Pelodiscus sinensis: one gene and its partners. The protein of the gene in region 2 purifies or fractionates together with the protein of the main gene of each other region. This does not show direct contact. Links are inferred from orthologs where the notes say so. Each region holds a gene or a part of one and is shown on either strand. Other genes may lie near its edges. The genes, in order: PNN, SRPK2, YTHDC1 and ZNF638.

Region 1 (7,704 bases), on a different chromosome or scaffold from region 2:
TCCCTACTGAGAACCATGAACTCAGCAGTAAGCTTCTCATTACTCACTCATGGTGAATTTGACAGTAACACAATTTTGGCACAAGAAAGTCTACTGAACTGAGATAAATAAAATCATAGCGGCACTCTTTATGTTATTAAAGGTGATCTACAAAGAAAAAAAATAGAGAATGCTCCCATGCAACTGGAGTTTAGATATGTACTCTACACATTCACACTTTTGAGCTGCACTACTGGTGTAGTTCCAGTGGCCAAATGGTTCACTGGAAGGCTGTTAAGAGGCAAGTAATTGGCTAATCGTGTAGTAGACAATTTTTATCGACTTCATGATTAGTTGATAAGGGAAGGTGCTGAGTCCCAGCTCATGTCGGGTCCAGGAGCTACTCCCGCTGTGGCTCTGCAGTTAAATTTCGTAGGAGCTGGGCATGCAGGTAGTCCAGCCCCTACTACATTTAAACTGAAGAGCTACAGTGGGTATCGTAGACACAGGTGAGCCAGGACTGAGCTGGGCTACCTACCTGGCTGTACCAGCCCCTATCAGAGGTAACAGCATGGGGTGGCAGGTAAGAGCTAGTCTGCAAGGGGAACCCTGTGCACAAGGAGCCTGGGCTCACTGCAGAAAGGGGTGGCTGCTGCTGCAGCAGCAGCAGGTTCTCCTGCTGCTCTGCCTCTGACAGAGGCAGCAAGCGGGGCAGCCAGGAGGGTCCACAGAGCCAGTGCTCAGGGGGAGCTGGCTTTTGAAGACTAGCTCCTGCCTCTGCCTCCACTCACTGGCTCTGTAAGATGCATCAGGAAAGATAAGCAGACGGGTCCACAGAGCTGACTCCTCACCCATATTGACTCCTGCCTGACCCCAACCCCTCCACACCGTTGGCTCTCTATCAGAGGCAACAGCACAGAAGTGCAGGTCATTGGTTCCCGTTCCCCAGCCCACTGCCTCTGATACAGAGGCAGCAAGGGGGGACAATGTGTGCAGGCTTATTGGTTAATCGTGTAGTCATCTACACATTGACATTCCTAATAGCCATTTAAACTATAGGCAATCCAGCTATCCATTGACACCCCCCAATAATCAGCAGTTGATATTAACAATCAGGTGTTTTAGATTTCGGCATCAACTCCTCATTGAGCGAAGGGAATGATTTATACTCAGATATTACTTCAGAACTATTGAACGGTAAGTTACCACTCAAATTCTACATCTGATTGCATTTCTTCAGAATTATTACATTTTATAGCGAGGAGGAGACAGAGACAAGATTTTATCAGAACTGATATGAACATGTTAAAACATGGATAGGGAGCTATATCCTTACTGATGCAGGAGGGATCATCCAAAAACAGTGACAAAAGCTTTAGCTTTGGAATTAGTAATCTTTAAGAAAGTAGTTATAAAGCCACCAGACTAACAGTTACCAGTTCTGACAATTTAAATGTGTTAAAACATGATGACCTTTCACTCGAGTAAAGTTTTTGTTCACCTTTATACTTACCTACTGGTTGCCCCTTCAAGATCCCTCTGTTTGGCTGGGGGTCCTCCGCTATCCGAGAATCCACGCCTAAAAAACAGAAGACTTAATACATGAAGTAAAACAAATAAGTAGCTGTCAGAGAGACCTGGACACTGGAACTGCAGAGTTTCCAATGCTGGTCTGCCGTTGACTCAAATGTGATCCTGGGTAAGTTAAACTTCCTGTCTATGTGGGTAATGCTTCCCTACCTCACTGAAAACAATCATCATAATAATTATATTTTAGTAACAGTCAAGTTATATAGCATTCTCCATTGCCTATATTAGTGGCATGAAGTACACAATAACCCTGTAATACTGACCCTACAAAACCTGATGGAAAAGTAACATTTAATAATTTGGCGATGGCTGAGAACCACAAAATAAACAGTTTCTTACCTCAGCAATATGCTACCACGCCCTCTACCTCCACCAGGGCCTGTGATGGTCAATAATCTACCTTGAGCGGGCCTGGAAGAAATGTACTAAGTGTTAGAATGCGGGCAGAGTAAGCAAATATGCTCTCTCTGGAGACCTGCATGGTCTCACATACCAGACATTGACTAACAGAGGGAAAACCTCACATGTCAAGAGAATAAACTTTGCTTGTAAAAACCTTGCTGGGGAAAAGCAGCACATACCCTTGGCAAGTGCACAGAGAAGGGATTGCTAGATATGTTTTCTAGCACTATATTTAAATTCCCAATCTTGGTGTACGCAGATGAGAAAAATAAGGGACTGTTGGCAACCCAATGACCTCCCCAACTCAGTTCCCCCTCCCTCCCGGCTGGATCACGCCTGACAGGCAACAGAAGGGAGACTCTGTGTGTCCCTCTCAGACACGTTACCAACTGACTGTGCGGGCAAACCACGCCGCGGCGGCTGCCTCCGATCAGCGCCCAGCCCAGCAACCTCAGTGGAACAGCACGGAAAGCGGTGGCGAGCAGCCGGCCGCGGGGCGGGCAAAAGAAGTCTCCCGCGCTCCTCCGCCGGAACTAGGGGCCCGAGCAGAAAAGAAGGAGCGCCGGGCCGCGGCGCCCCAAACCCCGCAGGCCGCACCCAGTCGACAGGACTCGGACCCTCAGAAGCACGTTTGCTTCCAGAGTCAGTGACGCGCTGCTCCTCCGCTCCGAGAGAAAAGGAACCCGCAAGGCTCGTCCGGTCCGGCCCGCCCTCGTCCGCAGGGCGCGCGCCCAGCCCCAGCCCCGGCCTCGCCTCGCCTCACCTCACATCGTTGGGGTCCCGGCCCGTGAGCTTGCGGATATTCTCATCCACGTGCTTGAGGCTCTCCTTGGCCTTTTCCAGCTGCTCCTGCAGCGCGCGCACAGCCACCGCCATCCCGCCAGCAGCGCGGCCTAGCCAAGGGCCTAGCGCAAAGCACCGCTGGGTAACGGAGCGAGATGCCCCGCCCACAAACTACTCGATCCGCCCTACAACCCGCCAGTCACAATGCTCGGAACCAGAGTGACACCAATAGGAAATCGCCGACCGTCCAGGTGCGCCAATCACCATGTCTCGACCAGAAGCGACGACGCCTACAGCCTAGCCGCGTGCGACGCATCTGCCAATTAGAGAGCCCATGTCGGAGTGACAAATCGCCAGCCCCATCACCAGTCTTCCCTGCTTGCCATATCTGCGAATCACCGAAGGGACAAACAAAATGACATAGATCCCAGCCAACCAGCACCGTTTCCTTTCTTCCTATCAACCAATCAGAAGCAGAGTAATACTGTCCATCTCCACCCACTCCGAACTCTCTCAACTTTCCCGCCCCACCCCACGCCGAGGCCCTTCAGAGGCCATGAGGCATAACTAACAGAAGCGGGGAGTAGCCAATCAGCTCTTACTTTCTTACAACTCAACCAATGCAAAAGCATGTTGTTTGGGAACAAGAAAAGAGCGATTCCGCGCAAGGCCTGGCGTTTAGCCAATCAGCTCACGTGCTGGTGTCTTCTTTTTTTCCCCCTTCTACTCATGTAGCCGGCCCGGGATCGCCTCTCCTGAGGGGAAGCCGCCCTGGCTGCTCGTTTTGCGGGGCAAGATGAGCTGCCTGCTTGGCGCTGTTATTCTGCCTTTCCCATTGCAGCGCGGTGTCTCCCCTGCTGCGCATTCCCCTTCGCTGCAGTGGGAAAGAACCGAGCTTAGTGCCCTGCCGCCCGCAGCCTGCCCCGCTCCGGGGTGCGCCCGCGCTGCCGCGACCCTTCGTCCTCCGCATGATTGTAGGGCCAGGTCCTCGGGGCAATTCTGTGTCTCTTCTAGTTCTGCCGATCGTGCGGAGAGCTCCAAGCTGAAGTCCAGCTCGCTGCCCAGGTTTTTATCGCTCGCAATGAGCCGAGTAGCCAAGTCTCTCTGTTCTGGCTTTAAAATTCCTATGGAATGGAGGTGACTGTTCCTCGTATTCGCTAATTTCGCTCTATTTTACTACATCCAGCATTGGGTCATGATGAGCAGCTCACAGAGTTGGCATGAAGTAAAAAAATACATGTCTCGTTGCTCAGTAGTGACTCAATATTATTTTGGTTTAGTTTAGGTAAACGAAATAAGCTAATTACCCAGCTAAAGTCAAGAAGCAGGGAGACATGAATGAAAGGGGTTCATTATCCTGGTGCTGGGGGATATTGATGGCCTGACTAAAGTCTGTGACTCTAAAATAGAGTGAAGAGGACACAAGATAAATGTGAAGAAAGGCAGTAGAAACTTTGATCTCTAACATTGTTGCTTTACTTTTCCTTAGTTTATTCAGTTTTCTCTACAGAGATAGAGCTACTAGGGTTGCCAGGTGTCTGGTATTCTACCAGTCTGGTTTTTGTGCCCGCTGTCCAGTAAAAAAAATTCAGAAAATATCAGACGTGCAATAGCTGTTAGTTTCTGTTTTCCTGGCTGGGTGCCGGACGGAAGCCTGGTTGGGGTGGGGGAAGTAACAGGGAGGTGGGACCGCAATCGGTGCTGGGAGCCTGTGGTACCATGCAAAAGCTTGGCAGGGATGGGGGGGAGTGGCTGCATGCAACCACAGGCTCCCATTGCCTGCCTCCCAGCTTGGAGCCTGTGGGTGTGTGCAGAAGCCAGGTGGGAGGGGGGGAGGGCTGTGGGTCCCAACCACTCCCCCTGCCAGGCTTCTGCACACACAACCAGGCTGTGTCTATACTGGTGCGATCTTGTGTAAAAGTGGCCTGTCTACACTGGCCGTGTGTTCTTATGCAAGTAAACTGACGTCGTAATGTATGAAATCAGGGCTTCTTGTGCCATAACTCTGATGCTCCTGCTCACGAATAAGCCCTTTTGTGCAACTGTTCTTGTGCAAGAGGCCAGTGTAGACAGGCAACATGAATTTCTTGTGCAAGAAAGCCCTATGGTTAAAATGGCCATCAGAGCTTTCTTGCGCAAGAGAGCGTCTACACTGGCATGGATGCTCTTGCGCAAAAGCACATGCCAGTGTAGATGCTCTCTTCTGGAAGAGTTTTTGCAGAAGAACTCTTGCGCTAAAGAGTTTTTGCGCAAGATCACGCCAGTGTAGATGTAGCCCCAGAGGGAGTCCCAGGCTGGGAGGCAGGGCTGTGATTGGTGCTGGGAGGAGGAGAAGCCCAGTCCCTGCTCTTGAGCGCTGTTGAAGCGCGTTGTGGTGCTGTAGTCCAGGAAAGAATCCTGCAGGTGCTTTGTAGTTGCCTTTAGGTGCCTTCCATGGGCTCTCAGCCAAACTGATTGGGGTGGAATTTCTGCTTCTTCCCACTGGGACATCCAAAGACTTGGCTATGGAGGAGTCACCTTCCTACCCATGTTTGCCCTCCTCCCACTGTGTTGCCCCAGGGTCTGCCTCTCTCTGCTTTGGGTAGCAGGCGGCTTCTTTGCAGAGCAGGCTGTGCTGCCTCCCCCTTTGTTCCCAGCTTGGTGGCTATTGGTAGTAGCCACACAGGATGTATGTGTGGTGTGGGTGGTATTTTTTTGGGAGACCATCTGGCAACCCTAGAGCATGCCAGTTATAAACTCACATCTGCCTCCCTACCCTACATACCCTAGAACTGCCAAGACTTTCTCCTGTAAACTGCAGTTTGTCTCCTTTATAATAATTGTGAGCCACAAAGTGCACTCTGGCACTAGTTTAAAAACAGGCAAAATACCATTGACCAAACAGTATTGGTAGAATGATTATAACAGCTTCCAGAGCCAGTAATGCTACTGGCTGTGCAAGTTTAAAATAGATGAATGAGACCAGTGGCTGGGCGTGGGCGTATAGGGCAACGATATATCTAGGCTCTGTGGAGAAAAGGGATTTTACTGTATTTCAGGCAGATCTCAGAGTATTTTAAAATAGCTGCTACTAACATGGTTGGCAAGTTTCACACCCACCATCCTTTCCCTCTACCTGGGACTACGGCAGCCCCTCACCCTAACTTGGCACCTACCGCTCCTTTGCTCTGCGCCGCCCCCCGCATCGCAAGGCGTAGCGCGCAGCCCCCACCCCGTATCCTTTTTTCCCGGCGGGCGGAGCCTTAGGAGCCTGACAGCCGGAGCCCCGCCCCTGCCCGGAAGCCGCCCGTTGCCTTGGTAGTGAGGCCGCGCTGCTTCCCGGAGCGGCCGGGGCCCGGTCTGGGAAGGAGGGAGCCGGGGAGAAGGGCGGCAGCGCGAGGCCCTCCAGCCGCCGGCATGGCCAGGCCGGAGATGGCGGACGAAGCGCTGTTCCTGCTGCTGCATAATGAGATGGTGTCTGGGCTGTACCGGGCCGCGGAGCAAGGCGAGGGGGTGAGGTGGAAACTGCCGGGGGAGGGATACCGACGAGCGGCGGGGTTCACCCTCCCGGGCACTCGCACACATTGACCTGGGAGCGATCTGCCGGGGGTTCCTTAATCCAGCTGGTCCCTACGCTCCTGTTTGGCACGATGCCTGTGCTCGGAGTAGACCTCTCCCGCCAGGGCCTCTATGCCAGGAGCACCGTGGGACACAGCCCAGCCTGGCGCTGTCCTGGCCGAAGCTAGAGAAAGAAAGACATGAACAGGTTTATTTTCTGAACTCAAAATACTTGCTTTTTCTGTAAATTCTTTCAGGAGAGCCGGCTGGACGGCTCTAGTAACCTGTGTTTGCAAAGGGAGGAGCCACAACTGAAATAGCATAGTCTATAGCTAGAGGCCATAAGGAATGAATGAACTCTTATTTTCCTTGTACGCCTTTACCGTAAGTCTGAGGTTAACAAAATATGTAAAAAAAACCTTTTGTATCTTCTAGGAAAATGGACGATGCATCACTAAATTGGAAAATATGGGGTTTAGAGTAGGACAAGGATTAATAGAAAGGTAAGAATGGTGTGATTTTAAAAAAGTGATACCTTATAACCCCTGCATCTCACTTTGCTTTCTCCTCCCTCAAACTCTTTTCCCCTAAAATAATATACCATGTAAACTGGAGCCTTCCATAAATGTTTTGAATTGAAATAAGGTTTACAAATCTAATGCTTTTTTAAGAGACAATATCTGCTTCAGATCTTTGGTAGAGAAGCTGACTTTAATGGGTTATTGAATACTTTTGTTAGCAATCTAATCATTTCATCTTAAAATCACCCATAATTCTTGGATGAATGCAACCTTGTACATGTGATTTATAGTTCTTTAATTGTCATTTGTTCTGAATCTAGCAGCTTCTCTTCTGACACCTCCATTCTCTTATGGTTTGTATTTATTACTTAAAGATAGCTATCTCCCCTGCATCTTCTGTGGTAAAGATATTACATAGTTCTTCTAATGTCCTTGTCCTCATGATTTGGTCCATTTAGGCCTTGTCTACACTATAGAGTTTTGTGGATGCAAGTGTCTAAATGTGTGTATGTGTCTATAGATAGATATAGTGTGTGTCTATATGTATCTGTATGAATGAATAATGCCAGTGAGAGGGTAGTTGGATGTAAACTACATAGAGATGGAAAAACATTTATTAAAAGTAATAATAAATCACCTCTAGCTCACTCTTTTTAGAAAGGTGTGGCAAATGAAAACATATGTATTTGTATCTAGGGAAAAGTTCTTTTGCCATATTTGATAGGTGTTTTGTTTTCAAAATAGCATCCAATAGTGTGCCACATGTGAGCAACATGTTTTCAGACAATCATTTTAATATATAGTCCTGGTAGGGATATTAATGGTTAACAGCCCTGGGAGGGCCCACCACAAGTGAGGGCTACTCCAGCCTGGCTGGAGCAGCCCCCAACTG
Region 2 (7,689 bases):
TAATACACAAATCCTAGCCTCTCTCCCTCTCTTCCCTTAAGGGTACAACTGACCAGCATCCTCTATTATTGCTCCTGGCCTGGAAAACATGAGACCAAATCAGAGACTATAATTTAGATCTTCCACCAGGGAACTCAAAGTACCAGAGAAGTCCCATATTCATAAATGAAAATGGAAACAAAACACAACGCAAGAATAAATGTGTGCCCAAACATTAAGTTTGGATATAAACATTCTTTATATACCATATATGCTGACTGTGCACAACAGTTAAGGATAATTTCATGTACGCTTTGAATGCTATTTCTTTTATGGTTTAATGTCATTATTTGACAATACAGATTTCTTTCACCAACAGCTTTTAATACTGTAATTTTTGAAGGTCATGGAAGGATCTGAAAGTTAATAGGATACTTAATATTGCTTCCTGCTATATAGTGAATGTATTTTTATATTTGAGGGAAAGAAGTAGTTATTTCACAGAGAGAATGAAAAATCATCTCTGACAGACTTTGTGAAAGTCTTTATTTGCTGATTTCTGACCCTATAAATTATGTAACTAATGTATGGCAACTCAAATCACTAAAATAGTATTCTCACAATGCACAAAAATCTCTATGAATATTGTAAAAAAGTTTATAGTGCATACACAATATCCAGTTTTTTATCTCTTGATCTTTTTAGATTTACCTTTTCCCTTCAAAATACTGAAAACCATGAGGCAACTTTATGGACTATGTACTTGCAATTTATTTTTTTAATCAAGGGCATTGTTAATGGTTCGTAAGCATAAAATGCATCTTTAAAATCCTTGCCTCCTTTTCTAATGATGTATAGCAATACTTTAGGAAGACAGGTCCATGTCCACTAGCCAACTGTTTCTTCCCAGAGATCGTATTGTATTTTATCACATTTTGTTCAACAATAGCTTCCGATTAGTCACTAGTTTTGCCATAGCATTTGAGCTGCTAAAATATAACTGGATTCACTACTTCATCAGGGTACCCTTCACAGAAGCCTTAAAAAAAAAAATCACAGTTAACACCTGTTTCCTGTACTACTTTCACCCCATCATCCTCCTCTCTCCTATCATTACCACCATTTATTTGGCCTAACATTTATAGTCTATGTAATTTTGAGATCCATGAGAATGGATAAACAAAACATCTTATACATCCTTAAGCCTTTTTCATGACTTTCAATTTATGTGTGCAAAAACAACCCAAAGCTTTTCTTACATTTCTCCATTTTGGAAAGGTGACTTAACAACCCACTCCCCCCACCATTTTCTGTATCTCTCTCATTGCTCTGATATTTTGTCATGCTATAGCTAGTGAAAAGCAATATCATGGTTTAGAATCATGTCTTCCCTCATTATACTTATAAATCCAATTAAACTGCTTGTATTGTTTTTAAAGCCATGCACTCCTCACAGCATTCTCTCATTTTAGCCTATCTTCTTTTAACTTGAATTTCCAGTGCACTGCCATTATTTTTATTATGTTCAAACATCATTCATCTATATTTTAGGTAATATCATTTCAGCTAAAAAAAGGCCTGTTTAGGTGTATTATATTACTAATTATAATTCTAGTAACTCATTTCCAAAGTATATAATATTCAGCTGTTCTGCTACACACATTAAATGATTAAATTCAAATAATGTTTTAATTTGAATTGATCTTGCGTTGTCCGCGGATTAAATAATTTTCTGAACACAAGTTTCTATTAAAATAAAATCTCAAGAAAAAGAGAAGTGAACAGGTTTGATTATTAAAAGCACCGAAATAGTCATTAAGAGAACTATTTGCATATAAAAAATCTGAATGTCAAAAATAAAAAATAAGGTTTTAAAATATCTATTTAAAATCAAACAACTATTTATAATAATTTGATTGACATATGAAATAATTGTTCTAAAAACACTTCTGAGTCATTTTGTCCTTACCTGCAGGCATGAACCATTATTACTGCATGCAGTGACTGTTCTATTTCCTAGCACAGACTTGAAGAAGCATCACATCTATTTTACAGAATGTGACTAATTTGTGTGTTTGCAATTCCTAAGCTATTTGGAAAGGACACTCCCTTTCAACATAACAGAATATTTAATGCTTAGCACACTGATACTTTCTACTAATCTAAATCTAACAGCAACCTTGGTAACAGTAAAATTATTTCCTCTAATACAAAACAAAAAATCTAATTTTTGAAACTGAATTTAGAAGTCAAGATGCTTTTGGGGTGAAAACAAAAAAATAGAACACAGCCTGCAACAACAATATACATAAACCAGTAGTCTGCTGTATTACGATTTGCATGCTGCTGTTTAGACTTCAGTAAAAACAAAAATAAATAACCCTTTGCAAAGACACAAACCTTAGCCAAAAACAGAGTCATTCAATACATTACAATAACCAGCATGCAATACATCAACAATATTAGCAAACAGATAAGAAAAAATGCCCTATGCTGCTGCTTTACAATGCCACACCATTAATTCTTCGAGCAAGAGATGTAGCTGTACCTTTCTGAAGAGGACGACTTCTCAGAGTTAACTGACATCAGCAGCTCAATCTTCTGCTTGATTTCTGGAAAAATCAAAAAATATTCACAACCAAGATTGCCTGCCCTTGTTTTCCAAAGTCTTATTATCAAATAATTTTTTTTCCTAATCCCTTTTGTTCCGAATGAAGCCACAAGATTACAGTACTTCTGTAAGGACTGATTCAACCGTGCTCTAAAGGGAAAAGCTCCAGAGGCATCAGGCCTTGCTAAACTATGCACATGACTGTTTATGAAAGCAGGAAGTACCATTTCTTTTAAGCAGAGGGGTGGTTCCTCTTTTGAGGTTGAGCTAACATATTTACTAGATGATTCTTATCATAACAATTTACAAACCACTGCACAAATTCCAGCTTCTAAGAAAAATCAAACAAATAGTTTGGGGAGTAAATTATTTGCAGCTTTGCTACCTAAATGTATTTACTACCCTTCAGAACCTTCATTTTAAAAAGCCCTGAAAAATATGGCTCTTTGAATTATTTTTGTCACAAAGAATGAAGTGTTAAATCACTACTTTAGTATATGGATCAGAAATCACAGACAGGCTATACAAATGTCTGAATTTCTTAAACTGATATTACCAGTACTCTTTCAAATATACTTTGAATGCCAACATTTAAATTTGCCTTCAATTTTTTATTCCTAATACCTTAATTGCCCCTTCTAATGCTCACAACCAATGATCAGCAAAACCCATTAACAGAGCAGGGCTGATACATAATACTTGTCCTAAGAGAAATGGCCTAACAATGACATCTAGAACAGAAATATTGAGAGCCAGATCAATTTTACTGCTAGACTACTGTTACAGGAGGAGAAGGGAGGAGAGAAAGAAATAGCCTCATACCAACTGCGACTTCTATATCATGAGATCTCAAAACCAAATACACATGGATGGTTTTAAAAAATAAATTAAGATTATCATGTAGCCAGAAGCTCTGTTACTTAAATGTTTCAGATGAAAACCAAAGGATACTAACATAATAAAGTTGACTGATTATAATTTTAAAATCATATTATAGCAGAGCTGGATGCACTAAATCTATTTAATGTTGTCTGACACTTCCCATTCTAAGACCCTATTTTCAATTGCTTACAACATTACTAAACTTTAAGTATTCAGGCTCAAATTTCCCATTCCGGAGATATGCCTCAGGGTGCTGCATTTATTTTTCAGCTGAAAAAAAGTTCAGCCATTAACTTTAAGGAAAAGTATGTTTTTCCCATGTTAAAAAGAAATCTTACAACCATCTCATTGAGAAGCTCTAGCATTTCCAGGCTTTTGGAGCAAGGTCTTGAAATGTAAGAGGCAGTAAGGTGGGGGTTGGAGTCACTCTGCTGATGGAGACGTGTCATTTTACTTTCCCCAAATTGCACAAATTTGGCGAATTTATAAACCTCCAAAAAGGTTTAGTTTACACATGCGCAACAGAAAACTATTAGAATTTGGTAGCTAAATTTTCCAGAGTCCATGTCTACATTGAGCACACTCATCGTGGGGTTTCAGGGATTGAGCACAATTTTCCCAACTACAGGTTGAACCTCCCAACTCCAGGATTCTTTGATCCGGCAACATCCATGGTCCAACAGGGCCTGGCTGAAGTGGACCTGGTGGAGGCAGGTAGCCAGAATCCCCAGCAGCAGAGGGGCAGGGCAGCTGGGTGGCCTGGCTGGGGAACCGCCTCCAAAAGCAGGGCCAGCAGTGACCAGGTGGCCCCAGCCGGAAACCTCAGGGAACACCCCGCATCAGCAGAGCTATCAGAAGCCAGGCAGACCCCGGGGTAGCAGGCAGGCAGCGTGGGAGGGGGAGGAAGTCGTGCATAACCAGTGTTCAGGGAGCCAGCAGCAGGGCATGGATTCCCAAGGACAGGAGCCCAGGAGTGGGGCAGCCAACAGGGGAGCAGGTCCTGAGGGTGACAGACCAGGGAGGTCCGACCTGTATTACCTTTCCCAGCTGCTAAGGTAGAGATGATAAGAAATGAAATGCACCCGCAATGTACCACTGATGTCTCCAGGCAGTAAGAAGGAGGAAACAACCTGAGCAAATGCAAAGTGGAAAGCAGCATAGGAGAAGGAGCTGCAGGCAACAGAGGGGAGAGAAGAATTGGGAGGAGCAACAGTCACATGCAGCAAAAGAAGGGGAAGAGCTGAGGCATAAAGTTGGATAGAAGTAATGAAGGGCAGTAGCAGGGTGAAGGGGGCAAAGAGCGGGAAGGAAAGCAGAACCTGCAATACACAGGACCAAAGAAGCACAAAAACTAGAACCTGTGTAGGAGATACAGAGAAGCACAGATGGAGGAGGGCAGAAGACAAGGTGTGAGAGGGTGGAGAGGAGCCAATAGGGACAGGGACAGGAGCTGGGGTAGGAGGGACAAAGTCAGCCTGAGGATAAGGAGGTAGAAAGCAGGGGCAGAAGGATCTAGTACTATTAGACTACCATTCCCTACAGAACCTGGAATTGAACCCAAAAGTCCTATGTCTCTACATCCTTCTGCTATCATCAAACAAAAGCAAAATCCACTGGCAAAGAATGTCTCTCAATCCCCTCTAGTGGCTGTTCCACATGGAGGACAACAGCTGACTACTTCTATCACTCTTAGCTCAAGTAGTAGAGATCGTGTTCGTCTAAGCTGTGTTGATGCACAGAGGCCTAATAAGCCTCTTTCTGGCTTAATAATAACCTTTCTGGGCTGGTGGCAGTGAGTATCCACAGTTTCCTTCCCACACACTTTCCACCCCCTCCTCCAAAAGTGCCCCATCCCTGCTCCTCCTGCATGCCACAGAATAACCTACCTGAGACAACACATACGATTCTAGTATACTTAGATGTAGCTGGTCAAAGCCATCAAAATCGCTCCACCTGGAATTTACTTTGGGCTTGTCTACATTTGATGTGCTGCAGCTGCATCGCTGTAGCACTCCAGTATAGACATTACTCATGCCAAAGAAAGGAGTTCTCCCATCAGTGTAAGGTGGCTTCCTAAGGCTATAGCTAGGTGGCTGGAAAAAATCTTCCATCTACCTAACACTATAACAGAATCTCAGAATTACAAACACCTCAGGAGTGCAAGTTTTTTGTAACTCTAAAATGTTCGTAACTCTGAACAAAACATTATAGTAGTTCTTTCAAAAGTTTACCACTGAACATTGACTCAATACAACTTTGAAACTTTACTATGCAGAAGAAAAATCCTGCTTTTGAACAATGTAGTTTAAATAAATCGAGCACAGAAAGAGTTTTTTCCCTGTCAAATATTTTTTTAACTCCCTCCCCCCTTTTTTTTAGTAGTTTATGCTTAACACAGTACTGTACTATACAGCATTTGCTTTTTGAGGGTGGGCAGAGGGTCATCACTGCAGCTGCCAATTGCATACATGTTGAACCTCTCCAAATCGGGAATCTGTCCAGCATCATCATACATGATCCGGTAGGACCACGGATGTTTCTGGACCAGGGAGCCCTGGCAGCTGGGAGTCCAGGGGCAAGGGGCCAGTGGCAGTGAGGGGTCTGGGCTGGTGGCAGTGAGGCCAGTACAGTAAAACTCCAATGGTCCGGCATCTGATGGTCCGGCACCATCAGGAACCCGGAAGTGCTCCGGGCAGCCGGACCATTGGAGCTGCTCTGCCCCCAGCTTCCCCGATTCAGCCGGTGCTAAAACTGATCAGCACTGAATCCGGGAAGCAGGGGACAGAACAGCTGGAGTGCTGCCGGGTAGGTCCAGTAGCGCTGCCCCTCGGGGCTGCGGGACCAACCCAGCAGCACCCCAGCTGTCCCGGATTCAGCCGCTGCTGAAATTGACCAGCGGCTGACTCCAGGAAGCCCGAGACAGAGCTGCTCTGCCCCAGCTTACTGGAATCAGCCGCTGGTCAGTTTCAGCAGCAGCTGACTTGGGGACACCTGGGGCAGAGCAACTGGGGTGCTGCTGGGTTGGTCCAGTAGCGCCGCTCCTCGGTGCTGTGGGACCAACCCAGCAGCCTTCCAGCTGCTCTGCCCCAGGCGTCCTGATTCAGCCGCTGCTGAAACTGACCAGGGCTGACTCCAGAAAGCCCGGGGCAGAGCAGCTCTGCCTCTGGCTTTCTGGAGTCAGCCGCTGATCAGTATCAGCAGCGGCTGACTTGGGGACACCTGGGGCAGAGCAGCTGGGGTGCTGCTGGGTTGGTCCAGTAGCGCCGAGAAGCAGCGCTGCGGGACCAAGCCGTCAGCACCACAGCTGCTCTGCCCCAGGCGACCCCAAGAGCAGCTGGGGTGCTGACGGGTTGGTCTCACTGCGCCAAGGGTCGGCGCTACCTGACCAACCCAGCAGCACCCCAGCTGCTCTGCTGCAGGCGCCCCAGATTCAGCCGCTGCTGAAACTGACCAGCAGCAGCTGAATCGGGGACTCCTGGGGCAGAGCCGGACTATCAGAAGGGAGGGCTATGAGGGGGTCTGAGGTAGCATCCGCCCACCCCACCCCAGACCCCTCATAGCCCCCCCTTCTGATAGTCCGGCATATCTGATAATCTGGCACCCCCTAGGTCCTAAAGGTGCCGGATTATCGGAAGTTTACTGTAGTTAGGAGCCCTGCCAAGCCAGTGGCAGGGAGCTGGCAGCTGTGAGGCCAGCCAGAACCCAGCAGCAGAGGGACTGGTGGCAAGGAGCCCTGCCGGGACAGGGAGCCCTGCTGAGCCAGTATCAGTGGGACTAGAAGTTGTGCCGGGGTCAGGGGCCAGGTAGGCAGGTTGCAAGGGGGCAATCATTGACCTCCCCTAGTCTGGCAAACTTCCTCGTTCGGGACCAGTCAAGTCCTTAGGGTTCCCATCCAAGAAGATCCAACCTGTACTTGTGGTTCCCAATTAGGTGTTTGGCTAACCAGTCAGTTTGTAAGTCTGGTATAGTAGCTCTGAGATTCTACTGTATCTACACTGAGGGTTAGGTCAGCTTAACTACATCACTCAGGGCTGTGGATTTTTCACACTCTTGAATGACACAGCTGGGTCAACCTAACTTTTTAATGTAGAACAAGCCAGAAACTTGATACATCAAGGTAAACACTACTAGATATTACAAAGTAAAGATCAGTACCTGTTCTTCAGCACTACTTTAGAGTGGGATAGCTAACTCAAATCTTCTATCTTGTTGTACAA
Region 3 (6,925 bases), on a different chromosome or scaffold from region 2:
AAAGAAGATTTGATAAAGCAAGGAAGCTATATCTCTACTTGTTTCATTTAAATTACGATGGTTCAAAGCAGCATTTTTCTTCTACACAGTGATGTTTCAAAGCTGTATTAAGTTAATGTTCAGCTGTAAACTTTTGAAAGAAGCGGCCAGAATGTTTTGTTCAGTTATGACTATCTCAGAGTTATGAACTAATGAGGCTAATTGAGTGGGCTGGAAGTGTCCCATACTTGCTTTTGATGTAAATGAGGTGTTAGATATATAGAAGGCTGATTTTATAATGGGCCATCCATTTAATGTCTTTGTTCACGCCCAGGGAAACAGTGTCAAAATTGCATATGAAGGTCAACTAACTAACTAACTAAGAATGGCTACTTTTAAATCTAAGATTGAGTGCCCAGGTGGATTAAAATATTCCCCTACAGGTTTGTGTGTGTTACTATTTTGGATATCTAACTTGTGTCCATGTATCCTGTGTCAGAGACTGTCCAGTTTAGCCAATATATATGGCAGGGAGGCATTTCTGGCACTTGATGGCATATATCAGGAAGTGCAGTTGTATGAGCTTCTGATGTGGTTAGATCCCGTGGTGGTATCACTTATATACACGTGTAGTTGGAGTTGGCACCAGGTTTTATCGCAGGGGTAGGTTCCTGGGTGAGTGTGTCTGAGGCTTCCATCATTTCCTTGTTATTTAATCCATTCCCTTCCCTTTCAGTAATTCCAGTTTAACTTGATGGTGCTGAACACCACCTTAAGAGCTACAAAATCTAAAAACATAAAAAAGTCACCTTTAAGCAGTTACAAGGAAGAGCCTCACAGCATGTATGGCTATGCCAACCATATGCCCCAGAGGTTTCCAGGACAGTCCGGATTTTAAATACTCTGTCCTGTTGTCCCCATAAAGCACTGAAATGTCCCCAAAAGCATCAACAGGAGCCCTAGAAGAGGGCTCCCCACACCTCCAAAGCCTTAGTGTGATGGCACAATCCAAAGTATATACAAGCCAAAGAAGTGGTACAAAGCTTAAAGTGGTGGCTATTCCCACCTCAGGGGCAGTAACATATTACATGTGTCTAACAGAGACAATTATTTATACAGCCGACCACAGGGTTTCACAGATGGATCTACACCCACAGCATTCTTCCCTAGAATATAGCTGACACTTTAAAAAAAAAAAAAAATCACAGAAAATTTTTATAATCAATTTCACTTATACTGGTAAAACCGAAATAAGAATTACCCCCAATCGTAACGCCCCTCATTGGCCCCCCCAGCCACAGCTTCCGCCCCCCCAGCCTACCCCCCAACACCTGTCCCGCCCCCGGCCTACCCCCCCCCCAGATCTCCCTCCCGACCTACCCCCCCACTCTTCCCCCCTGCAGCTCTTCCCCCCGGGCCGACCCCCCCCACCGCCTGTCCCCCCCGGCCTACCCCCTCACTCTTCCCCCCCGCAGCTCTTCCCTCCCGTCCCCCCCGCCTGTCCCCCCCCGCAGCTCTTCCCTCCCCCCCGCCTGTCCCCCCCCCGCAGCTCTTCCCTCCCCCCCGCCTGTCCCCCCCCGCAGCTCTTCCCTCCCCCCCGCCTGTCCCCCCCCGCAGCTCTTCCCTCCCCCCCGCCTGTCCCCCCCCCGCAGCTCTTCCCTCCCCCCGCCTGTCCCCCCCCCGCAGCTCTTCCCTCCCCCCGCCTGTCCCCCCCCCGCAGCTCTTCCCTCCCGTCCCCCCCGCCTGTCCCCCCCCGCAGCTCTTCCCTCCCCCCCGCCTGTCCCCCCCCGCAGCTCTTCCCTCCCCCCCGCCTGTCCCCCCCCGCAGCTCTTCCCTCCCCCCCCGCCTGCCCCCCCGCAGCTCTTCCCTCCCCCCCCGCCTGCCCCCCCGCAGCTCTTCCCTCCCCCCGCCTGTCCCCCCCCCGCAGCTCTTCCCTCCCCCCGCCTGTCCCCCCCCGCAGCTCTTCCCTCCCCCCCGCCTGTCCCCCCCCCGCAGCTCTTCCCTCCCCCCCGCCTGTCCCCCCCCCGCAGCTCTTCCCTCCCCCCGCCTGTCCCCCCCCGCAGCTCTTCCCTCCCCCCCCGCCTGTCCCCCCCCGCAGCTCTTCCCTCCCCCCGCCTGTCCCCCCCCCGCAGCTCTTCCCTCCCCCCCGCCTGTCCCCCCCCCCGCAGCTCTTCCCTCCCCCCCGCCTGTCCCCCCCCCGCAGCTCTTCCCTCCCCCCCGCCTGTCCCCCCCCGCAGCTCTTCCCTCCCCCCCGCCTGTCCCCCCCCGCAGCTCTTCCCTCCCCCCGCCTGTCCCCCCCCCGCAGCTCTTCCCTCCCCCCGCCTGTCCCCCCCCCGCAGCTCTTCCCTCCCCCCCGCCTGTCCCCCCCCCGCAGCTCTTCCCTCCCCCCCGCCTGTCCCCCCCCCGCAGCTCTTCCCTCCCCCCCGCCTGTCCCCCCCCGCAGCTCTTCCCTCCCCCCCGCCTGTCCCCCCCCCGCAGCTCTTCCCTCCCCCCCGCCTGTCCCCCCCCCGCAGCTCTTCCCTCCCCCCCGCCTGTCCCCCCCCGCAGCTCTTCCCTCCCCCCCGCCTGTCCCCCCCCCGCAGCTCTTCCCTCCCCCCCGCCTGTCCCCCCCCCGCAGCTCTTCCCTCCCCCCCGCCTGTCCCCCCCCGCAGCTCTTCCCTCCCCCCCGCCTGTCCCCCCCCCGCAGCTCTTCCCTCCCCCCCGCCTGTCCCCCCCCGCAGCTCTTCCCTCCCCCCCGCCTGTCCCCCCCCGCAGCTCTTCCCTCCCCCCGCCTGTCCCCCCCCGCAGCTCTTCCCTCCCCCCGCCTGTCCCCCCCCCGCAGCTCTTCCCTCCCCCCGCCTGTCCCCCCCCCGCTACCTTTCTCCTCCCGGCTGTCCGCCGCCATCCGGCCGCCTCCCGTGTCGGGCCGGCGCTGAGCTCGCGGCGGGGGCGGGGCGGGGGGGCTCGCGGGCCGGAGCCGGCTGCAGAACGCCTGGCACGTCGGCCCCTAAGATGGAGGCTGCTTCCTGCGCGAGACAATCCCCCTCCCACAAGGCACCGCTTTGTTTACGCTTCTGGCGTCACAATGCAGGCTGCGCGTGACCGCATCGCGTAGCGTCTGCCCGGAAGGGCTCCTGGTGGATCGCGGGGGGGGGGGGGCGGGAAAGGCCTGGCCACGTGACTGCGCAGGGCGCCCTTGGCCGCCGCCATTATGCGCCTTGGCTGGGCTCGTCGGCTCGAGCTGAGCGCTACGCCCCGCCCCTTTCCTGAGGCCACGCCCCCGCTCCCGCCCGCTCCGCGGCTTCCAGCGCTGCCCCAGCCCCCCCGTTCCCTGTCACTGAGCTGGGGGGGGGGGGCTCTGGGAGGGGTGGGGTGCGGGCTCGTGCGGGGGCTGTGGGGTGCGGGGGCAGGGGCTGTGGGGTGCGGGCTCTGGGTGGGGTGCGGGGGCTGTGGGGTGCGGGCTCTGGGTGGGGTGCGGGGGCAGGGGCTGTGGGGTGCGGGGGCTGTGGGGTGCGGGGGCAGGGGCTGTGGGGTGCGGGCTCTGGGAGGGGGTGGGGTGCAGGGGCTGTGGGGTGCGGGCTCTGGGTGGGGTGCGGGGGCAGGGGCTGTGGGGTGCGGGCTCTGGGAGGGGGTGGGGTGCAGGGGCTGTGGGGTGCGGGCTCTGGGTGGGGTGCGGGGGCAGGGGCTGTGGGGTGTGGGCTCTGGGAGGGGGTGGGGTGCAGGGGCTGTGGGGTGCGGGCTCTGGGAGGGGTGCGGGGGCAGGGGCTGTGGGGTGCAGGGGCAGGGGCTGTGGGGTGTGGGCTCTGGGTGGGGTGCGGGGGCAGGGGCTGTGGGGTGCGGGCTCTGGGTGGGGTGCGGGGGCAGGGGCTGTGGGGTGCGGGCTCTGGGTGGGGTGCGGGGGCAGGGGCTGTGGGGTGTGGGCTCTGGGTGGGGTGCGGGGGCAGGGGCTGTGGGGTGTGGGCTCTGGGTGGGGTGCGGGTGCAGGGGCTGTGGGGTGTGGGCTCTGGGAGGGGGTGGGGTGCAGGGGCTGTGGGGTGTGGGCTCTGGGTGGGGTGCGGGGGCAGGGGCTGTGGGGTGCGGGCTCTGGGTGGGGTGCGGGGGCAGGGGCTGTGGGGTGCGGGCTCTGGGTGGGGTGCGGGGGCAGGGGCTGTGGGGTGCGGGCTCTGGGTGGGGTGCGGGGGCAGGGGCTGTGGGGTGCGGGCTCTGGGAGGGGTGGGGTGCGGGGGCAGGGGCTGTGGGGTGCGGGCTCTGGGAGGGGTGGGGTGCGGGGGCAGGGGCTGTGGGGTGTGGGCTCTGGGTGGGGTGCGGGGGCAGGGGCTGTGGGGTGTGGGCTCTGGGTGGGGTGCGGGGGAAGGGGCTGTGGGGTGTGGGCTCTGGGAGGGGGTGGGGTGCAGGGGCTGTGGGGTGTGGGCTCTGGGTGGGGTGCGGGGGAAGGGGCTGTGGGGTGTGGGCTCTGGGAGGGGGTGGGGTGCAGGGGCTGTGGGGTGTGGGCTCTGGGTGGGGTGCGGGGGCAGGGGCTGTGGGGTGTGGGCTCTGGGAGGGGGTGGGGTGCAGGGGCTGTGGGGTGTGGGCTCTGGGTGGGGTGCGGGCTCGTGCGGGGGCTGTGGCGTGTGGGCTCTGGGAGGGGGTGGGGTGCGGGCTCGTGCGGGGGCTGTGGCGTGTGGGCTCTGGGAGGGGGTGGGGTGCGGGGGAAGGGGCTGTGGCGTGTGGGCTCTGGGAGGGGTGGGGTGCGTGCTCGGGCGGGGGTTGTGGGGTGCGGGCTCTGGGAGGGGGGATTGGTTAACTGCTCTGGTACCCCCTGTGGTTAACCTCTGGAGACTGGAGCAGCTCCTCACCCACCAAGGGCAGGGGGATGCTTCAACCCTGCCATGGACGGGGCACTCTAGCCCAGAGAATGCAGCCTCTGTCGGGGGCCTGGGTGCACCACAGGCAGGGGCTGCTTCAGCCTGTGTATGATAATTCGGTTTTTTACTATAGTTGTAGCCCTATTAGCCTGGTACTGAATTTAAGCTTACAAATCTGTAATTGCCAGGATTGCTTTTGGAGCCTTTTTAAAATTACCATGGCAGTAGCTATCGTCAGTCACCTGTCAAAGAAACTGATTTCAATGAAAAGTTACATACCCCAGATAGGAGCTCTGCAATTTCGTATTTGTATTTTGCCTTCAAAATGGCATCTGGTCCTGCTGACTCGTATTGCTGTTTCACATATCAGTTTCTCCCAAAACTTTTTCTACACATACCTCAAGCTGGAATGGTTCCTCAGATGTGTCATCATAAAAGGATTGGCTCAGGTGTGGGAATCCCCCTCTCATCCTCGTCAGCGAAGGTGGATGGAAGGAATTTATTTATCTTCTCCGTTATGGCCTTGTCTTCCTTGAATGTTCCTTTAGCACCTTGATCGTCTAGTGGCCCCACTGATCGCTTGACAGGTGCTCTGCTTTTGATGCACTTTAAAAATGTTTGCTACTAGTTTTTGAGCCTTTTGCTATGTTGTTATACAGTTGTCAGACTGTGAAACTTTGGAATACCCACTCCAGTACCGTGTCAGCTTGATCTTCGTCTGACCCCCGTTCTTAGCACTGTTCAGTTTTACAGGTGGACCAATGGTTATTACACGACAGATAAGATGTGAGGATGCTAAGTGCGAGTACATGACTAACTGGATACTCAATACAATTTGCATCGAGTACACAGTTAATCGGGTCCCTGATGGCTGCTTTGACTAAAATGAGCTGGGTAGCATTTAAAAGGCAAAGCTGCAATGCTGCTGTGCCTCTCCCTTCCCTGCCCAGCATCAGCTTCTGTTTCTCCCCCTCCCGCATCTTGCTGGCTCTGATATAGAGGCCGCAAGGGGCGGGGATGTGAATAGTCCCTAATAAGATGAGCCAGATTTTCAGCCTAGTATTGATTGGGCTTTTGTTTTTGTTCCCAGAATTTGCAGACACAACAATTTGTGGTGGCAAGTTATTTGTTGCTGCAATGTAGGTCTTGTGAACATAGAAACCTGATTTGTGAGTGTAGATGTTTATACATTTAGATCCAAACAGTGCCTGTAATTATTTATGCTTGCAATTCACAGGTACAAAAGCAGAGGACAGTGTTTGACCAACCAGACCAATGTTTACAGATGACATCTAATAAGATTAACAAACAAACAAACAGGGACCAAAGTTAGGCTCTTAACTCCATTGTTAAGCACATCAGTAAATAGCCTGTCTTTTAAAAGTTGTCAGCTCCCTAAGCTCTGTTTACTTCTTTGGGAGATGCTGGGGGCTCAACTAAGAATGTAAGTGACTAGTCGACTATCTGATAAGCATAAGCTTATCGAATAGTCGAGTAGTGATTTGACTAGTTGCTTCACCCGTGTTGCCTATATTAGAGAGAGGCAGCAAGCTGGGGGAGCTGTATGTGGTTCTGGGGGGAGCTGGCTTAAAAGCCGGCTGTCCCCAGCGCCATCTCTGTGGGGAGGAGGCAGGGTGTCCGCTTGTGCTGGTTCCCACTGTGGCTGCTTCAGCCTTTGAAATGTACAAGAGCCCTATGGGCGTGGGGGTGCAGAGTGGACTCATATACATTTCAAAGGCTGAAGCAGCCTCATGGGAACATGGAGCCAGCGGGAACTGCTTGAGTCCCCACTGGCCCTCTGCTCTCTGTGGTGCCCTCCCCTTGCTGCCTCTGAGCCAGTTCCCCACAGCACCATCTCTGGGGTGCTGGCTGCTCCTCTCTGCTGTGTCTATCCCCCCACAGACAGGGTCTGCTGCCACCAAGAAGCCCCTGTTCACAGCACCCGGGGCTGGCAGTGTGGGTAGCTCCCAGAACCAACATGAGCCAGGACTGCTCAGCCCCAGCTCAAGTAGGCTCCTGGAACAACCCCTATTGACTAATCAGTTAGTCGATATTAGTTGTTTCGACTATATGATTAGTCTGATAACTGGATTTTAACAGCCTTAAGCTCAACATTTTTGGAC
Region 4 (7,261 bases), on a different chromosome or scaffold from region 2:
ATTCCCCATAAACCTGAGATGGCCACAAAAACTTCAGTAATCTTGACCTTTTCATTTGCACAAGAGCTCTGAACTTCACAGTCTTTTAAGAGATGACAGCCCTTTGAAAGAAATACTGAACACAAAACTAAGTTAAGTGACTGTAGGCTGCCATCAAGATGGAAACTAACAGGAAAAAGAGGAAGCCAGCAGTGTTTTATCCATTCACTATCCCCCTAAAACAGTAGTCCATAAACTTTTTCTGATGCACCCTTTCCCTCCTCAATGATGGAATCTTCCTGCACCACCTTGGGAGCCAGGAATAGCAGAGAGGGCTAGGAGCTAAGGCCAGGAGCAGAGGAGAGGGCCGGGTGGCGCTCTCTCCCTGCCCCCAGTGAGGTTGGCCTAGGCCCTGTCATGCGCTCCCCGATCATTCCTCCGCACCTCTCATCATCTGAAAACCAATGCCAAGGAAACAAATTCTGCCTCCAACCCTTCAACCAATACAAGACTGTTCCTAGTTAGCTCTCGCAGACACATTTTTTAAATAAGGAAATATGAATAAACAGATTGGCTATGTCTACACTGGCAGCTTCTTGCGCAAGAACGTCTTGTGCAAAGGTTCTTGTGCAAGAACACGTCCACACTGCCATGTGTGAGAGGTGCTTTTCTATTTGGCATCCAGGAGGTGGGCGGGCATTAGCCCGCCCACATCTAAAAGACCACCCCCCAGTGAGAGGTGCTTTTGCGCAAGAGCATCCATGGCAGTGCAGATGCTCTCTTGAGCAAGAAAACCCTGCCGCGCATCCACACTGCCCACTTGCGCAAGAGAGCTTCCACCTGTTAGAAAAGAGCATAGCTCTTGTGCAAGAAGCCCTGTCCTACCACGCTTTACTGTAAATCTTCTTACGCAAGAGCGGGTGGGCAGTGTGGGTGCTCTGCAGAAGAACGGCAGTTCTTTTGCAATAACCCACCAGTGTAGACATAGCCAGGGCTCGACAAACCACTGAATCTACTTGCCCACGGCGAGTAGATTTCAGCCGGTCGCTCCGTGCGCCCCATTCACCGGCACTTCGCGCATGCGCAGTGCCAGTTTGGCGCATGCGCGGTGCAGGGCTGGCGAGTAGCTCTCGCCGGGATTTGTCAAGCCCTGGACATAGCCATTGAGTATCTATGTGCAGGGTACAAAACAAATTGATTAAAACATTTTTGCATTCAAGATGGGTTCATTATCCAAATTAATTGTTAGTGTGCTGAACGGATTGCTTATTTATGATCACCATGTCCCTTAAGATATATAGAACAAGTGCTTCTCTCATTTTTTGTTCTTAGATTGGAAGAGGAAAATGTGGGACTCTCTGGTCCAGCAACATAAGTGGTCCGTCAGGGATGTTACTGGACCAAAAAGTCCTGGAGCAACATAGGGGCTGGGGAGTCCCAGCTGGGTCAGCCAGCATCTGGGGAGTCCCAGCCCTGGCCAGGGAAACCCCAGCATTAGCGGGACCAGGCAGCAGCCCAGGAACTCTAACTGGGCTGCCTGCAGCCAGGAACCCCAAGAAACCCACAGTGACAGCAAGGCTGATAGAGGCAGGCAGCTGGAATCCCTAGCAGCAGCGGGGTCAGCCCTAGCAGCAAGCAGGGTGGCCGGGCAGCCCCAGGTTGGGGAACCCCCAGAAGCAGCAGAGTGGCAGCACGGGGTGACTCCAGACAGGAACCCTGGAGAACACTCTGCTGCAATGGGACCAGCAGCAGCAAAGTAGTCCCTGCCGGGAATCCCAGAAGACCCTGGGGCAGTGGGCAGGCAGCAAGGTGGGGAGGGACCAGCAGTGGAGAAGGGCAGGGAGCACCAGGGAGAGGAGCCTGAGAGCAGGGCAGCCAGCAGGGGAGGGTGCTGGACCAGGGAGATCCAACCTGTACTTAACTTTCACTGACTTAGTCACCCAACAGATTGAATTAACTGGAAAGAAGAAAATATCCCTGTGTGTCTACAGAAGAGACCAATGTTGCTAACACTGGTTTAGGTCACCAACAACCTGAGCAGCCGAGCCCTGCTCTTCCCTACTCTTTTCCTGTGTTTAAATCAGTGCAGTGAGTTCACAGCAATTGAAGATGGAACACGGCTTATCCATGCCAAAGCTGGCTTTAAATACGCGCACGTTAAACATTTCTGACTTGATTTTTTTTGGTACGTCCCTTCCCCCCCCCCGCCCCCGCCCCCAGCAGACTCACAACCGGGATTTTGCAGCGCTAGTCTAAGGGTGGGAAACCTCAGGCCTGGCACCGCACGCGCTCGGGGAGGTGGGCGGGGCCTCTCTCCTCCCCGGCCCGGCGCGCGGGCGAGGGGCGGGGCTGCGTGTGTCGCTGTTTCCCAGCAGGGCCCGAGCGGGAGGCGAAGCGCGCGCACGTGGGAGAGGCCGGCGGTCACCGCCGCCGCAGCAGGAGCGCGCTCCCGGCCTGCCCCGCGCGCGCCCGCCTCAGCAACAAGGGGGTGGAGCCGTCAGCCCCCCCCCCCCGAGCTCGCCCGGCCGCGAGACGGGCGCGCAGGCCCCGCCCCCGGCCCCGCCCCTTCCCCCATCGCCCCGCGCCGCCATTTTGGGCTCGGCAGCCGCGGCGCCTTCTGCGCCACAGAGCAGCTCGGCGGGCCCCGCCGACGCCGGGCAGCCCCCGCCCCGGGCGGGCGCCTTACCTGCCGGGGAAGCGGCGGAGCCGGGCCGCTCCCGCCTCCGCGACGCTGTGGCGCTCGGCCGCCCGCTTGGATCAGCGCAGCCCCGCTCTGGCGCCTCAGTCGGGCAGGCAATGGCGCCGCGCATGCGCTCAACGGGCCGACCCGAGGGACGCGGCGGGAGTAACTCCCCGGCGGCCCGCCAGGGGGTGATCGCCACGCAGCCGCAGAACAGATCCGCTGACCGTCTGCGCTCTGGGCTACCAAATGCGCTTGCGCGTCGAGTTGACCCGAAGCCTGTCCTGGGCGTGGAACGAAGACTAGCGCAGGCGCAGCAGCTTCCCAAGAGCGCCCCCTCTGAATAACAACAACGGGTGGGGCGCTGGGGCACGCTCACCGCCCTCTGCCCGCGCGTGCGCGCTAAGAGCGGGGGTCCGGGCGCCAACCGTGACGCTTACTGCGCAGGCGCGCCCCAGGGCATGCTGGGAGGACCTGCCCCTTATATAAGGAGTTGGCAGGTGGCACGCAGGTGGCTTAGGGTGGGGTTCCTGCTCAGGGTTAGCTGCCTGGTCCGGCCCCTTATCCCTGTGGTCCCACCCAGAGGCTCCCTGGTGTACTCTGCCTTGTGCTGCCTCTCCTGGGACAGGCCCTTCCTTGCTCTGTGCCTGTCCACCTAGCCCAGCTGCTTGCTCCTTCCTCCAGCCGCCCCCTGTCAGGTGAGAGCCTGGCCTTCCTCCTGGCTTGGGGGCCCAGCTTGTGCACCAGAGGCAGGGGTGCGCTATCCTTCCCAGAGCAGCTTCGCTCATCCGCCCCTGGTGAAGCATAGGCTATGTCTACAGTGGCGGGATCTCGTGCAAGGGTTCTTGTGCAAGAACACGTCCACATGGCCATGTGCTTTTGCACAAGAGCATCCATGGCAGTGTGGGTGCTCTCTTGCACAAGAAATCTCTGATGGCCATTTTAGCCATAGGGCTTTCATGCACAAGAAACCCTTGCCACGTGTCTACACTGCCCTCTTGTGCAAGAGGGCGTATACTTGTTTGAAAAGAGCGTAGCTCCTGCGTAAGAAGCCCTCTCTTCCCATGCTGCACTGTAAATCTTGTGCAAGAGTGGGCGGGCAGTGTGGACGCTCTGTGGAAGAACTGCCATTCTTGCGCAAGGACCCGCCAGTGTAGACATAGCCAGAACGTTTAACCAGTTAACTGATTAAATGGGATTTTACATTCCTATCTTGTACCTGGGAATGTTTCTGGCTCCCCTTGACAATGCCCTACTATTGTAATGATAGCTGCAATCAAAACACCTTTGTGAGAAGGAGAGGTGGAGAGCAGGGTTAGGTACAAAAACATTTAGGTCAAATCCTGCTTAATGGATTAATGTGAATACTTCCCCTGAAGTCAGTGGAAATGTTCACAGACCGAGGAGGACTGGGTTCCATTGGTACTAGGGATGTCAACATGTAGTTGAGTACACAATTAAGCAATAAGCCTGGGCTTATGGGTTAATCATTTAGACTACATGCGCACACACCCTTACTGCCTCTGTACCAGAGAGGGGGGCAGGCAGAAGCTGATACTTGCAGGAAGCTGGCTTTGAAGCCAGCTCCCCGTGCGTATTGGATCACATGAGCTGCTTCATCTCTGCCACCCCGTGGGCTGCTGCCTCTCTATCGGGGATCTGCGGGATGCCAGAGCAGCCCCTGCCCATGGGGAGCTCAGGTACCCTGTGGACAGAGGCTGCTGCCTCTTTCTCAGAGACAGCAGCGCAGGGTGGCAGGCAGGAGCCAGTCTGCACGGGGAGCCAGTTTTTAATACAGAGGCACGGGGTAGCAGTGGGCTCCCTGGGAGTGGGGCTGAGAGCATGTACTGTCTGCTGGCCCTGCCCCTGGGGTCTATCGAATAGTCATGTAACCAATAATATTCTGTGCAGTTACATGACTATTCAATCACTTGCTATCTAACATCCCTAATTTGTACTGGGAAACAAGGTAAGAAGATGCGCCGATTAGGCTGTGCCTATATTCACAGCATAGTGAGAGGTGCCTAAAAAACAGGCCAATAATGGAAAATATCTAGGTATGGGGAGTATGCATTGGAAGAGCAAAGAGGCACAGACAGGGTTTCAACATTTGAGTTTAAAACGACAAAAGGATGCTGCCTTTAAATGGCTTTTTATGTTGTACATTTGCAAGCGGTAACTAACCTAAACATAGTCTCAGTTTAATAAACACCAATGTCAACTATGGTAACAGTGTATGTTTAAATAATAAATGACTGTGTCTAACACTGAATCCCAGCTCCTTAATGTGTGCTTCTAATGGAGCGTCTGAATCCTTTTTTAATGCATCACTTGAGGTTTCCAAATCTGTTCCCATGACTGCTGAGCCTGGACATGCTACATTGTTTCAAAACAAATACAAAATAGGATCTTACAATAAAATTCTATATGCAGTTCAGAAAACCAGCAAAACCAGCTCCGAGAGTTAATCAAAGCACAACCAGACAGATCAATTCTATAGTGTTCTCTCAGACTCAAACTCAGGCCCTGGTAGAAAGCAGCAGGTTTCCAAGGACAGGGCATTTCAGCTGAAGAGGTCCTACCCCTTGTCCCAGAGCAGTTGGCCTCTGGAATTAAAACAACAAAGCCAACTGGACATTGGGATATTGCTGGAGCTTAACAAATAATGAAAAGAGGGCAGATTTTCAGATCACCCCATCCTAGACCGTGTAAAGCTGTATGGATTGTCAACACTGCAGCCCTGTTTGAAAGCTAACATGCAACCAGGGCCTTTGCAATGCAGAACACTATGGCTGTGTCTAGACTGGCAAGTTTTTCCGCAAAATCATCTGCTTTTGCAGAAAAACTTGCCAGCTGTCTACACTGGCCGCTTGAATTTCCGGAAAAGCACGGACGATCTCATGTAAGATCGTTAGTGCTTTTCCGGAAATACTATGCTGCTCCCGTTCGGGCAAAAGTCTTTTTCCAAAAGACTTTTGCGCAAAAGGGCCAGTGTAAACAGCACGGTAGTGTTTTCCGCAAAAAAGCCCCGATCGCGAAAATGGCAATCGGGGCTTTTTTTGCAGAAAACCGCGTCTAGATTGGCCACAGATGCTTTTCCGCAAAAAGTGCTTTTGCGGAAAAGCATCCTGCCAATCTAGACGTGCTTTTCCGAAAATGCTTTTAACGGAAAAGTTTTCCGTTAAAAGCATTTTCGGAAAATCATGCCAGTGTAGACGTAGCCTATGTGGCTGTGTCTAGACTGGCAAGTTTTTCGGCAAAGTCATCTGCTTTTGCAGAAAAACTTGCCAGCTGTCTACATTGGCCGCTTGAATTTCCGCAAAAGCACTGACGATCTCATGTACGATTGTCAGTGCTTTTGCGGAAATACTATGCTGCTCCCGTTCGGGCAAAAGTCTTTTTCCGAAAAACTTTTGTGCAAAAGGGCCAATGTAGACAGCAGATATTTGTTTTGTGCAAAAAATCCCCGATCGCGAAAATGGCGATCGGAGCTTTTTTGTGCAAAAGCGCGTCTAGATTGGCCACGGACACTTTTCCACAAAAAGTGCTTTTGCGGAAAAGCGTCCTGCCAATCTAGATGCTCTTTTCCGAAAATGCTTTTAACAGAAAACTTTTCCGTTAAAAGCATTTCCAGAAAATCATGCCAGTGTAGACGTAGCCTGTATGTTTCATACAATCGGAAGAAGAAATACAGCCTGGGAGAGGCCGTGTGGACGTTTTCTTGTGACAGAGAACATTTTTCCACTGGGTACCCTTCGTTTGTGGCTAGTCGACGCTACAGAGGCTTTGCTGCTATGGTGGTGTATATAGCAGCCGCGGCCCCTCGGGTAGGCAAGCTGCATGCCAACAGGAGTGTCCCGGCCAGCAGTGCCCCCGCCCCCTGACATTAGCTAAGCTCTATGCCATGTTGGTCCCAGGATACAAGGTGGATGAGGTAACATCTTTTATTGGAGCACCTTTTGCTGGTGGGAGACGCGAACTTTTGTGCTTATGAAAGCTAGTCACTCTCACCAGCAGAAGTTGGTCTAATATTAAGAGATGACCTCACTCACCTTGTGGCTACGTCTACACTGGCCCCTTTTCCGAAAGGGGCATGCTAATTTTCAACTTCAGAATAGGGAAATCCGCGGGGGATTTAAATATCCCCCGCGGGATTTAAATAAACATGTCCGCCGCTTTTTTCCGGCTTGGGGAAAAGCCGGAAAAAAGCGTCTAGACTGGCCCGATCCTCCAGAATAAAGCCCTATTCCGGAGGATCTCTTATTCCTACTTTGAAGTAGGAATCTCTTATTCCACAGGACCTCGTCCACGATCTCCGCACTAGGCACTGGAAAGTGGCCAGCTAGGGCAGGAGAGCTGCCAGCCTGGCCACCCAGGAGCAGGTGTGCATGAAAATCAAGGGGGTCCACTGAGGCCCCCGACCCTGAGCCCTGAGCTTACAATGGCCGTCCTGGGTCAGACCAAAGGTCCATCTAGCCCAGTAGCCTGTCTGCCGACAGCGGCCAACCCTAGGGACCCTGGAGGGAATGGACCGAAGACAGTGACCAAGCCATTTGTCTCGTGCCATCCCTCTCCAGCCTTCCACAAACCTTGGGCAGGTAC

What was found.
Region 1: the proteins of SRPK2 (region 2) and PNN purify together in Homo sapiens (affinity purification with mass spectrometry; 3 studies listed by BioGRID and IntAct, with this or other methods). This does not show direct contact. The link is inferred for Pelodiscus sinensis from reciprocal best matches to the Homo sapiens genes SRPK2 and PNN.
Region 3: the proteins of SRPK2 (region 2) and YTHDC1 purify together in Homo sapiens (affinity purification with mass spectrometry; 4 studies listed by BioGRID and IntAct, with this or other methods). This does not show direct contact. The link is inferred for Pelodiscus sinensis from reciprocal best matches to the Homo sapiens genes SRPK2 and YTHDC1.
Region 4: the proteins of SRPK2 (region 2) and ZNF638 purify together in Homo sapiens (affinity purification with mass spectrometry; 3 studies listed by BioGRID and IntAct, with this or other methods). This does not show direct contact. The link is inferred for Pelodiscus sinensis from reciprocal best matches to the Homo sapiens genes SRPK2 and ZNF638.

What each region holds. Positions count from the first base shown.
Region 1 is NC_134714.1:45,293,203-45,300,906, forward strand, and holds the start of PNN (pinin), read right to left. Parts: upstream 3,011-7,704; 5' UTR 2,848-3,010; coding exon 2,735-2,847; intron 1,981-2,734; coding exon 1,909-1,980; intron 1,559-1,908; coding exon 1,493-1,558; intron 1-1,492. Other genes in the region: TRAPPC6B (trafficking protein particle complex subunit 6B), read left to right, coding at 6,151-6,246, 6,727-6,794. UniProt on the Homo sapiens protein: Transcriptional activator binding to the E-box 1 core sequence of the E-cadherin promoter gene; the core-binding sequence is 5'CAGGTG-3'. Capable of reversing CTBP1-mediated transcription repression.
Region 2 is NC_134711.1:25,325,912-25,333,600, forward strand, and holds the start of SRPK2 (SRSF protein kinase 2), read right to left. Parts: upstream 3,006-7,689; 5' UTR 2,818-3,005; coding exon 2,528-2,817; intron 1-2,527. UniProt on the Homo sapiens protein: Serine/arginine-rich protein-specific kinase which specifically phosphorylates its substrates at serine residues located in regions rich in arginine/serine dipeptides, known as RS domains and is involved in the phosphorylation of SR splicing factors and the regulation of splicing.
Region 3 is NC_134715.1:4,323,016-4,329,940, reverse strand, and holds the start of YTHDC1 (YTH domain-containing protein 1), read right to left. Parts: upstream 3,020-6,925; 5' UTR 2,864-3,019; coding exon 2,836-2,863; intron 1-2,835. UniProt on the Homo sapiens protein: Regulator of alternative splicing that specifically recognizes and binds N6-methyladenosine (m6A)-containing RNAs.
Region 4 is NC_134715.1:133,322,451-133,329,711, forward strand, and holds the start of ZNF638 (zinc finger protein 638), read right to left. Parts: upstream 3,016-7,261; 5' UTR 2,666-3,015; intron 1-2,665.